3 linked regions of the Notamacropus eugenii genome follow. The protein of the gene in region 2 interacts with the protein of the main gene of each other region in a biochemical or structural test. Links are inferred from orthologs where the notes say so. Each region holds a gene or a part of one and is shown on either strand. Other genes may lie near its edges. The genes, in order: BTK, GTF2I and USF1.

Region 1 (3,744 bases), on a different chromosome or scaffold from region 2:
TGCAGACAGTCACACAATGTATGTATGCACACATAGAAATACACAGAGACACATGTGCATACATGTACATAACACACTGAAATACACAAGCCACACACAATGCATGTACATACACACAGAAATATACACATAGCCACATGTGCATGCATGTACACACTGAAATACAGTCACAATGCATGAATGTACATACACAGCCACACAATGCATGTATATATGCAGCCACACAATGCATGTACATGCACACAGAAATACACACATAGCCATATGCACATACATGCACACATAAGAACACATACAACCACACACACATGTACATGTATGTAAAAATACAACCCCCACTCCCACCCCCCCACCTGGGTTTAGAGAGGGAAGGGATCTTGGCAGTCATCAAGTCCAGCTCTCTCAAATATACAGCACCAGGCTAGGAAGATGGCAGGCAGCGGTGGGTGAAGGAAATACAGGTCATGGACCAAAGAGACAGATGCCTACATAGGTAGGTCAAGTGCTTCTTGAGACCCTCACAGGTGAGGCCAAAGTGAGCCAGGTAGTGAGGGGCAGAGCCGACATTTGATCCCAGGCCTCAAACTTCAAATTCCCTGTCCCCTGCTAGACTAAGGCCCTGATTAGGGTCAGTAACAGTGATGAGCAGTGCTAGCTCAGCAATGCCCATCAGAGCCCAGGGGAGGAGAGAAGGAAGAGGGAACAGGAGAAAGAGAGAGAGCAAGAAAAAGAGGAAGAAAGAAAAGGAGAGCATGAGGAGAGGAGAGATGAGAAATGGGACTAAGTAACGACTATGCCAGTGACACAGGCTGCCTGTCCCTGACCTAAAGAATTAGATTTTTTAAAAAATCAAACATGAACATTAGGTTGGTTCTGACTCTGTATACTTATTCCTTATTTGAGACTGAAATGGAACCTAATGTTTGGCTTCATGAGACCCTCAGTAGGCATCCCACATCTTCCAAGTGCCTTTACTCAGCATCTTGTGCTCTCCTGATCATCCTAGGGTGGACCTTTCAGCTCATGCACAGAGGAATTCAAGACCTAGAATGCTAGAAAGAACATCAAGGTCCCCTAATGGAATCCTCTCATTTTACACAGAGGGAAAGTGAGATACAGAGGGATGAACTAACTTGTCCAAATATCTGGACCAGATAACTTCCCTGGAACCTTTCAGCTTGAAATCTGGGATTCCATGATGGTACACTTAGAGCTGGAAGTTAAGGCAGCTGCCTTGGGAAGTGGCGGGCTCTCCCTTTCTGGAGGCCATCAAACAAAGGTCCTGATCACATTAGCCAATTCTAGGAAATGTGTGTGTGTGTGGGGAATTCTGATATTCCCTACCTCTGTGGTCATACAGCTATGATTCAGGCCTCCACTTTTTGCCTCCAAATCACCCCACCATGCTGCTGCCTTCTAAGGCCCAGCTGAACATTTGCAAAGAGGTCTCCCCAGGCCAGAAGGGCCTCTGTAGTGCACTCTCCAGACTTGCAAAGGCTATGAAGAGGGGAAGCTTTGTTTTGTGACAGTGCTTGTGCTTCTCCGTTACCTGTGACTGATTCTGGGGCTCCACTCTACTCCTTCCTTCCACTTTCCTTAGTCCCTTAGGCCACAACATTGGCCTCTCTTGGTTATCTAGCGCTGTCAGAACTTGGTGCTTTGAGTCCCCCCCCACCCCCCATCATCCACCTCCTGTGGCCACCTCCGACACCAGCCATGTTTTCTCCCAGCCCTCCCATATGGCCCTGAGGGGGGAAGGTACTCACTGTCGATACTCAGTCATTGTTGACCACCACCATACACTGACCACCTACCTGAGTCCTGACTCAATGCTGGCGGTTTCCCAGATGCATTAAGCTGCCCAGATGTGGAAGGTGGGATTCGATCAGCACAGAGACTGGCTCTGGAGACATATTCTTACAGTCCTGAGAGGAAGGACAGTGTGAGCAAACCCCACCCTTTCACAGACACTCAGTTCCCCTTTTTTTGTTTCCTGACTTAAACCAATGTCTTTTTTTTCTTCTCCCTTCTCAGAGGCATGGTATCTTATTTCCCCTTCCATCAGCCTGGAACCCCCAATACTGCCACCATGAGTTGGGCTCAGAAAAAAGCCTCCACCTACTTTGGTGTCACTGAGGCTCAGGCCGTAGAGCCAGGCCACAAAGGTGGAAAACAACCTTGACTTCAGGGCTACAGGAACAGGCAGAACACAGGGAGCAAAACTAGAGAGGAAAGAGGAGTGTAGAAATGGGGGGCAAGGCAGGGAGAGGTAGACAGACAGGGCAAGCAGCCTGTGAGGAAGGCCACCCACGGCAGAGGGGCTTGGAGCTGAGACAACTGCACTTAAAGGGGATAGTTTCTCCAGAAAACGGCAGAGCTAGAGATAGGAAGACTTCCTCTGTTGAGTCATTTTCTAAGAAAGATTTTTTTTCTTCTGCAGATAAAGATGTCAGAACATGGGCCAAGAAGCAAACTTGTACCTTCTCTATTTTCCAGGAATGTTGATTTTTTTTTCCATTTAAGACCCTTATTAGGAGACTATGCCTTTAATTATTTAGGACTCTGTAATCCTGGAAAGCATGCCTCTTTGGGCCACTCAGAAGAAAACTGGCATATTGTTCCCAGCTGGCTCTGGGGCTGAGCCCCACTGCTGCCTCTAGCCCACCCTTCTCCTACTCAGTGTGAAAAGGAGTGTCTTCCTTTGGTCAGTCCAGGAGGCACATTTCTCCCACAATTCTCCCAGGAAATAAGTGTTGGCACGTGCTATCTTAGGAATTAGAGCATTGGGCACCAGATGGTGAAGGCATCCCACTGCAATGTTGCCATCCATCCTCCCCCCACTAGCATACCCTTAGTTGCCTGTCTTGGGTGCCTCATGCAGAAGCCCTTCCTAGGCTCCACTGCAAGTTATCAAGTTATTAAGATTATTTAAAATGTTTAAAAGTTTCATCGATGCCTTTATTTACATTGCGGTCACCTACAGCCCTCCCCCAAACTCCAACGTTGCTCCAAATCTCGAAACAGCTCTAAACAGAAGTCAGCCATATCTGACAACATATGTCTTGTTCTGCATCCATAACCACCCCTTCTCTGCAAAGAGGACAGAAGTCTGTTACACTGGGTTCCAAATCTGCCTTAGACACTTATCAGTCAGGTGACCCTTAGCAAGTCACTTTGGTTTCCTTAGCTCTGCCATGGGGATAATAATAGCACCTACCTTTCAGGACTGTTGTGAGGATCAAAGGAGGTAGGATACATTAAGTGTTTTGCCAACATTAGGCCTTGGGAGTCAAGATTGGTCATTGAAATGATCTGAGTTCTAACATCTATTGACTGAGTGACTGACTTGGTTCTGCCTCAGTTCATACAAGTCTTCCCAAGCTTCTATGAAACCTTCACATGCCTGTCAAGATTCTCAAAGCAACAAAGTTGTCTTAAATGGGTATGTATTTTTTCAAAACCTTTTTATTGGCCAAGTATTGGCCTGGTTAGTTCTCACATTTACTCAAAGCAGACAAATAAGTAAAAATAACTGACCTTTATATGGTGCTTTAAAGTTTGTAAAGAGTCAGTGTAGTTACAAGGGCTGTTATTATATTCATTTTACAGTTGAAGAAACTGGCCATGGAGCCAATAAGCACCAAAGGTTGTATTTTATCTCAGAGCTTTAGACATCTGCTCCACACTTGTGTCCCCCAAAACCCATGATGTTAAAAGGAGTAAGAACACTTATCGCACTAACAA
Region 2 (3,744 bases):
TACCCAATCTTCCCTGCACAACCACTTTGTGTTTACTTGGGATAATAGATTTAAACCTGCAAGTGACCTCAGAAGCCAATTAGTCCTACCCTACTTCATTTCTCAGGTGAGGAAACGGAGGTAGGAAAGGGTTAAGTGCCTTGCCCAGGGTCAGAGAGCTAATGAGTATCTACCTAGGATCTGAATCAATCCTCCTGAATCCTACCATTCTGCCTAGTAGACAGTACCTGGGCACATACTAGGTAATTAATAAAGAAGTTGAATAATCATTCACCTAACAAGCAGTTCATTAAGACTGTCTAATGTGAGAGATACCCACTCTGCCTCCCAACCCTATAGGAGGTGGCATGGGGGGGGGGGGGGGGGAACAAACACCAAAAAGGCCTGCAACAAGGAAATGGAATGCCTAGTTAAGGGAACTTCAAGTAGGTCAATCTGGTTGAAAAGTGGAATGTGTCAAGGGTAATAAGAATTTCAGTCTAGAGTGGCATCTGGCAAAGCTTTAAATACCCAAATGAGTTTGTGTTTTATCCTAATAGGAATAAGGGACCAACCAATGAAGGCTGCTGAGCAGAACAGGGCAGATCAGACGTGTGCTCAAAAGAAGCTTCTTCTGGCAGCTGTTTGAAGGATGCCTCGGCATAATCATGGATATCCACTATCCCTGAAGTTGGAATTCATTATAATTAAGGATTGCTGGGTAAATTTGTTTGGCATCTCAGAGAAGTAGAATTTGAGGAACAGGATGTACTGTAATCTTGCCCCTCCTCTTAAAGATGAGTAAATGATGACCCTGGAAAGGTGAAATCACTTGGCTAAGACTCCACAGCATGGCACATCAGGAAGAGAGATGCTGAGCCCCAGGCTTTCCCCATTTCATCCTACTGTACTAGCAGTGATTGTTCAGAGAAACAAGGAGGCTTCTAAAATGCCTCCTCTGCACAAGATCTAGGAGAACCTCAGCCAAGCAGGGCACAGAGCAAGAAGGCTGGGAAAGGGTGCGACAGGGCCTCCACTCCACTGTGTCCCAGTCCAGTTGGGGAAACTACCTCCTGAAGGAATTCCTGGCATGTTTTGTCTACCCCTTTATGCTCTCTTTGTAACAGAGGATGAGTCCCAAACTCCTGGGCTTCTGTCATGCTTTTAGCAACGCCTGGTTAGCAGGCAAGAATAAGCAAGGTGGACCGACAGCGTGAAGGAAAGCTAGAGAGAGGAAACCAGGGCGGGACAGGAATTAAAAGACCAGATTGTAGAGACAAAGCCTGGGCAGGAAAAAAGGGGGGGAGGGGGGAGAAGACAAATGGCAAGGGTGAAGATCGAAAAGGCTGAGAAAACACAAGGGAATAAGATGGAAAAGAGGAAAACCTGCGCTCAACTAGAGCATTACTTCTAATTTAGGTGCATATTAAAAAAATTAGTACTTGCCAAAAAAACAAGACCAATCCTCCCGGCTTTTGTGCTTTTTCCTCCAAAGCAGCCGACAGCCACAAACTGTGTTTATTTTTTTACAGTTAATCATGGCGAGTGAAGAACACGATTTCTATAAAAAAGGCCCGATTTCAGTAATCAGATATGAGCAGGAAATTAATAATTGCCCGGAAGTCCTTAATCCGAAGGCCTATCTAAGCCAGTTAACGCGGACGCTGCCTTCCACAATCACCGAGACTCAGGAAAGGAAAGCGCAGCGTTCGGTTTACCTCCCTTCCGAGGATCCACAGCCCGGGGCTAGGGATCCGCCCCCAGGACGCCCCCAGGGGCAAAGGAAACCTTATCTGCGCCCGCCATCGCCCCCCCCCGCCCCAATCCCCCTCGTCCCCCATTCATTCAACTCTCACAAGAACATCAAAGGACTTTTTCGACCCAACCAAACTCGAACCATTCGCGGCCCTCTAATTACCCCCCCATCCTGACGGTGACCTCGGCAGATCCTTCCCCTTTGGATAAAGCCTCGGGTCCCCCCCTCCCCCTCCAACCTTCGATCCCAGGCCTCGACCCCCAAGGAGACTGAGCCCCCCCAACTCCCGGACCAGCGTAGACTGGGCCCAACCCGGGATGAGGGAGGGGGGAAGCTCCGGAAATGTGCAAAGGGGGCGGGGCTTCACGCCCCCGGGCTGACCTCTCCGACCCTCGTCTTCGCTCCCGCTCCCCTTCCCCCTTCCGTTCCCCCCCCCCCCCCCGCAGGGCTCCGACCAGGCCTGAGTCTCCCGAGGGGCCACCGCGACCCCCCCCCACAATTACACGGGTTCCTCGGTCCCAGGCCTCGTCCAACCAGGCCCCGAGCCAAGGGGAGCCGCCCCAGCCAGGAGGGGAGGGCAGGCGGGGAGGGGGGGGGCCGGACCAACTCCAGACAGGGGTTCGAATCCGCATCATTCACGGCCTCCAGGAGCCCAGACTCGGAGGCTGGGGGGGATCCCAAACTAGACTGAGGGGAAGAAAGCACCTCGTGGCCCCTCAGGGACTCTCGGACGCCCGGCTCCGCCTCCGCCCTCGCAGGACCCGCCGAGGACAATGGCCTCAGCAGGCCCCACCTGGCAGGGGGAGGGGGAGCGATAGGGCGGAGGCGGGGCCACAGCGGGGCGGGGCTGACACCTTCACCTAGCCCGGCGGCGGCGGCGGCGGAAGCCCCGCCCCCCGGCCCCGCCGGCCAATCCGAGCGCGCCGCCGCCGAGCCTGCGCTCGAGTCCCAGGACAGGGCCCAGCCGGCGCGCGACCCCAGCTCGGCCCCGGCCCGAGCCCAGAGCGCGCGACCCCTGTCGCCCCAGCCAATCAGGGAGGGGTGAGAAGCAAGGACACCCCCCCCCCCTCCCCCACCCCTACCCCTACCCCCCCAACACACGCACGCACACCTCCCTCTCTCCGCTAACTCCGGCGCGCGCGCGCAGGGCCTTCTCCGCCCCCAACCCCCATGCTCCGCGCGCACTTCCCCACGCGCGCGTCCCCGAGGCTCGCGCGTCCAACCGTCGCCCCTCGCAACCCCCCCACCCCGCCCCCACCCCGGGGCCCGGAGCCCGGGACCCGAGGCGGGGGGAGTCGACGGTCACCCCCACACACAATAACCACCCCTCCGTTAAACTGCCCCCGTGTCTGTTCCGCGGCAGCGGAGGAGGTGACGACCGCGGCCCCGAGCTAGGCCAGGCTGGGCCCGGCAGGGCCGAAGGGGCCTCGGACTCACCCGATGCAGCGGCAGCCGCGGTAGCAGCAGCAGCGACGGCGGGGACGGCGGCGGCGCCGGGCAGCCCCGAGGCGCGGAGAGAGGAGGCGGGGGAGGGCTCGGGGCGCCGATCAGGCCGAGCCGGGGGCGGGGGCGTCCGGTCTCGCTCACGGGCTGGCCGGTCCTGCCTGCGCCTGGGGCTGGGGCTGGGGCCGTCGCTGGCGCCGTCGCCGCCGCGCTCCTGTCACCGCCGCATGGCCGCCCCCGGCAGGGCCCACGCTCCGCGCACAGCTGGCCTGAGCGCCCGAAAGGCGGAGGAGCAGAGCGCGGCGGGCGGGAGGCGGCCGGAGAGGGGGCGCGCGAGGTGGGGGCCCGCGGCGGTCTGTGGCCCCTGTTGTCCGCTCTCCTCCTCCTCCTCCTCCTCCTCCTCCTCAGCTCGCTCTTTTTTTTTTTTTTTTTTTTTTGTTCCTAGAGAGCCCGCTGCGCATGCGCACCCGCCGCACCGCACCGCGGGAGTCGTAGTCTTCCGGGCCTTGCCCACCAGGCCGAGGGCGGCGGGGCCGGACTACGACTCCCAGGGTGCACCGCGAGGG
Region 3 (3,744 bases), about 220 Mb from region 2:
GGGAGAAGCAGTGAGCAGGAAGTTCAGGCCCTGGTACCTCCTGGCACTTACATTCAATGGCATTTTCAGCACAGCACAGCTGGGATTCAGATTTAGGAGCTTACACTCGGAGTTCCCCTCCTTAACTCACCCCTTCATCTCTCTGCCAGGGGGCACATCCGAAGGCTTGTTCTTTTGCTTAAAGTCTTTGTACCTCCTGCCTCACAATGCTGCGTTGTAAATCCTGGGAGGGAACAGGGAGAAGAAGACAACTTACTATGAAGTTATGGAACTGAAGAGGCCCTCTTTAGCAGGGGCCCAATGTCTACAAACAATCATGTGTTAAAAAGCTATTCATCTGGTATATGTCATTTTCAATACATCTCCCTTTCCTAACTCCAAAAGTTGAGGTAGCAGGTGGAAAAGCTAGTTTATGCACAAAGTCATCCTCCTTCTGGCTTTAACCTAAGTAGTCAGGGGTTACCTGGAGAGATGGACATGCAAGTTTGTAAACAATAGTTTTCCTGGATGTATTATTAATATTATTTTACTTTGCAAAGACAGCAGTTTCATGGGGCTCAATTACAAACAGGCATGGTCATGCTGGCAAAACATCACCATCAATATAAAGAAGTAATGATTTACTCTATTTGGTACTGTTTCTTGAGGCTACTTTATAGAGGTCCACATTGATTTAGACTTTCTATCTTTTTCTCCAAGGTAGGGAAATTGAGTTGCAGCAGCAGAAAACAGTTATACCCCCAAAGACTTTAGGTCAGAGTTTCAAGGATCAAACCATCTGAGAAACAATCTTATGCCTGAAAACCAGCACTTGGAAATTTCCCTCTCCCTTTATTCTCCAAGTCTTCTTCCTTGCCTGATTGGTTTGGCAATTATGATGTTGCTATGGTTACACCATAAAAAATGCTTCATTCAGACGGGAATGAATTTCAGGCACCCTAGGGCTCAGGGTTCTTCTCTGCTCTGAAACAGAAGGGGACTGGGGCAACAATATACCTACAGGCTATGCTAGGACCCTCAAATCCTGGCTCCCAGCTTGGGAAGAGAAATCAAGGACTAGCCAGAGGCAGATGGCACCACCAAATCCAGGCATCTAGCAGCTTTTACTAGGAAGATTATGATTTATAAATTCAGTCCCCTTCCACAAAACAAGGTCCCTAACCCAAAGAAGAGATATAAAAACACACCTCCCTCCCTTCCCCGCACAGGTAGGGGATGGAGGGTGTGGAATACTATAGATTATATCTTGCTTTTTCCCAGTGTGTGGTCTAGTTTTGATGAACTGTTTCCCCTCCCCTTCCTTTTTATACTACGTTTGTAAGGGATGGCTTTCTGAGAGAAACAGAGAGGAAGGATACACTGGGAAATGTAGGCCAGAGGACAGATTCCAAAGCCAAGAGAAAGTGGTTAAAAAAGAGAACTGAGAAGTGAAAGTGAAACCTGAAAAGGAAGTAAGGGGGAAGGGGATGAAGGAGGGAGGAAAGAGAAGAGGGAAGACAGGGAGCTTCCAAGTTCTCTCTCCGTCCTGACTTCGGGGGAAGGAAGAGGACTGGAACGCAGGGACAGCTCACCAAGTTTCTGCCACCCACACATCCCCGGGCAACTGAGGGCACCAGAGGAAGGCCGGGGCCGGTTGGAGACATGAATTACTGTAAGGGAGAGCTCTCTGGCTATCAGAACTGCATGTGGCACGGGCTGGGGGCCCCGGGGAGCTGTGGAATGTACTCTCAGGACAGAACAGGGAGAACTGACTCCTCAACCTGCGCAGACTTCCCAAGACAAGTCCAGGAAAGGGCACGCCGACCACTAGGGTGGTCATAAACACGGGGACAGAACTCAGAGGATAAGCTCCCGGCCTGAAAGCCCGACCGCCCTCCTCTCCTCGCCTCCTCTCCCTCGCTCCCTCCCCCGCCAGACCCACCACTAGTGTGCATGGCGTCCTCATTGCACGTCTACACGCCACTGTGACTCTTCTTGACCAATCCCCTATTCACTCCAGTTCCCCCAACAATTTCGAAAGCGGCCGAGAGGCAGGAGAGGAGGAGAGAGGAGGAGAGGGTCAGAAGAGGGAGACAGAGTGGGGGGGAGGGGGCAAAGAGACACAGGCAGAGAAAAGAAAGCGGGGCTGGGACGGAGGTGCGGAAAGGGGAGAAAGAAGAGCCCGGTTAAGGGCCAGGAGTCCGAGCGGAGGGGGCTGCGCCGGAGGCTGTGCGGCAGCCCCCGGCCAGAGGGCTGGGAGGTCGCCCCGGACACATGCCGCGCCGCCCCCCGCTAGCCTGAGAAGGGGATGGGGGCGGGGGGAAGGAATCTAGAAGGGGGCGGGGGGGAGGGGGAGCGCTAGGAGGAGGGATCTGGGACAGGGGGACCGGGGGCAGGGGGAGGAGGAGTTGGGGCAGGTGCCGGCGCAGCTGGGGAGTGGGCGAGGACCGGGACGGGGCCCCTCCCCCACCTCCCAAAAAAACAAAGGCTCGCTCGCACCCTCTCCCTTCCGCCAACCTCCCCCGACCGAAAGGAGCCGAACGACCCAAAGCAGCTCCCCTGCCTCTTCTTCGTCGCTCAGCCCCCCGCTTCGACCCCTTGCCCCACACTCACCAGTCCAGGGCGCCCCAGTAGCTGCCGACTTCCCTCGACCGCGTTCTCCCCCTTCGGCCCCAGGTCTCTCCATGGGCAGCCGCTCATGCGCACTGACCAGGCGTCTCCATGTCGATGCGGGGCGGAAGTGTCTGGTCCAGCTCCGCCTATTTCCCCGGGAGCGGCCGGGGGCATCGCCCACTTCCGGTTGCCGCCATCTTGGTGAGGGGTGCCCTTCTTCCTAGGAGAGGCGCGGAAGCGAAGTCCAGCTGACCAGATCCAGCTGGATTGGGAGCGGGCTCGCTGCCATCTGGCATGGAGGGGAGGCGACGAGCTCCTAGTGTCATCTTGATTCCGGACAGCTGACAGCCGTAGCCGTCCACAATGGGTCTAACACTTGATAGAGACCATCTTAAGTCTGGGAGGGATGCTCGACTTGGCCGCCATCTTTGACGAGGGCTGCTCTGGGCGCCATCTTGGGTCTGGGCACTCTTGGGAGAAGAATTTCCAGGAACATGACCCGGGGTTCGCCCAACACCTGTCAGGCGCCGGCTTTTGAAGCTCGGCCGAGAAGCAATGACCTCAGCTTCTGGGGGGATTTGGGTGTCCGGCCCCGAGTCTCCTGAAAGCCTATTCCCTGGTCCCCCATGACCACACCCATTCATGCCAGTAGTCCCTCTGCGTCAGAAAGGTTTTCGTGGATCGCCACCCTGCCCTGGTGATTTCTTATTTTTAAATTACATAGCCAGAACTCCCACTGCTATAGGGAGGAGCTCCGGGTGGAGGAACTCCTTCCAGTCCAAGCCAGTCCCTGCCCTTCCACTTAGGATCTTGGGCACCCCGCAGGCGAAGGAGGCCTTGAAGCCCAGTATTCTCCTTGCTAGGTTGGCCCTCTCTTCTGCTGCCTGGCATTTCCTGGAGCCCTTCCCGCACCAGCTACCAAAGAGGGTGCTGCCAGGTGGCACAGCGGATAAGGTGATGGTCCAGACGTTGGGAGGAGTCACCTCCTTGAGGTTCAGATCTGGTCTGGGACGCTTACTAGCTGTGTGACCCTGGGTGAGTCACTGAACCCTGTTTGCCTCAGTTTCCTCCTCTTCAAAATGAGCTAGAAATGGCGAACTTCTCTAGCACCTTTGCCAAGAATACCCTAAATGTGGTCCTGAAAAATGGGGC

The links.
Region 1: the proteins of GTF2I (region 2) and BTK form a complex in vitro, tested with the Homo sapiens proteins (4 studies listed by BioGRID and IntAct, with this or other methods). The link is inferred for Notamacropus eugenii from reciprocal best matches to the Homo sapiens genes GTF2I and BTK.
Region 3: the proteins of GTF2I (region 2) and USF1 form a complex in vitro, tested with the Homo sapiens proteins (2 studies listed by BioGRID). The link is inferred for Notamacropus eugenii from reciprocal best matches to the Homo sapiens genes GTF2I and USF1.

Annotation. Positions count from the first base shown.
Region 1 is NC_092879.1:92,839,942-92,843,685, forward strand, and holds the start of BTK (tyrosine-protein kinase BTK), read right to left. Parts: upstream 2,274-3,744; 5' UTR 2,123-2,273; intron 1,926-2,122; 5' UTR 1,815-1,925; intron 1-1,814. UniProt on the Homo sapiens protein: Non-receptor tyrosine kinase indispensable for B lymphocyte development, differentiation and signaling. Binding of antigen to the B-cell antigen receptor (BCR) triggers signaling that ultimately leads to B-cell activation.
Region 2 is NC_092873.1:48,620,903-48,624,646, forward strand, and holds the start of GTF2I (general transcription factor II-I), read right to left. Parts: upstream 2,506-3,744; 5' UTR 2,441-2,505; intron 1,541-2,440; 5' UTR 1,520-1,540; coding exon 1,426-1,519; intron 1-1,425. UniProt on the Homo sapiens protein: Interacts with the basal transcription machinery by coordinating the formation of a multiprotein complex at the C-FOS promoter, and linking specific signal responsive activator complexes.
Region 3 is NC_092873.1:267,463,805-267,467,548, forward strand, and holds the start of USF1 (upstream stimulatory factor 1), read right to left. Parts: upstream 2,722-3,744; 5' UTR 2,593-2,721; intron 1,652-2,592; exon of another isoform or gene 1,472-1,651; intron 224-1,471; 5' UTR 139-223; coding exon 131-138; intron 1-130.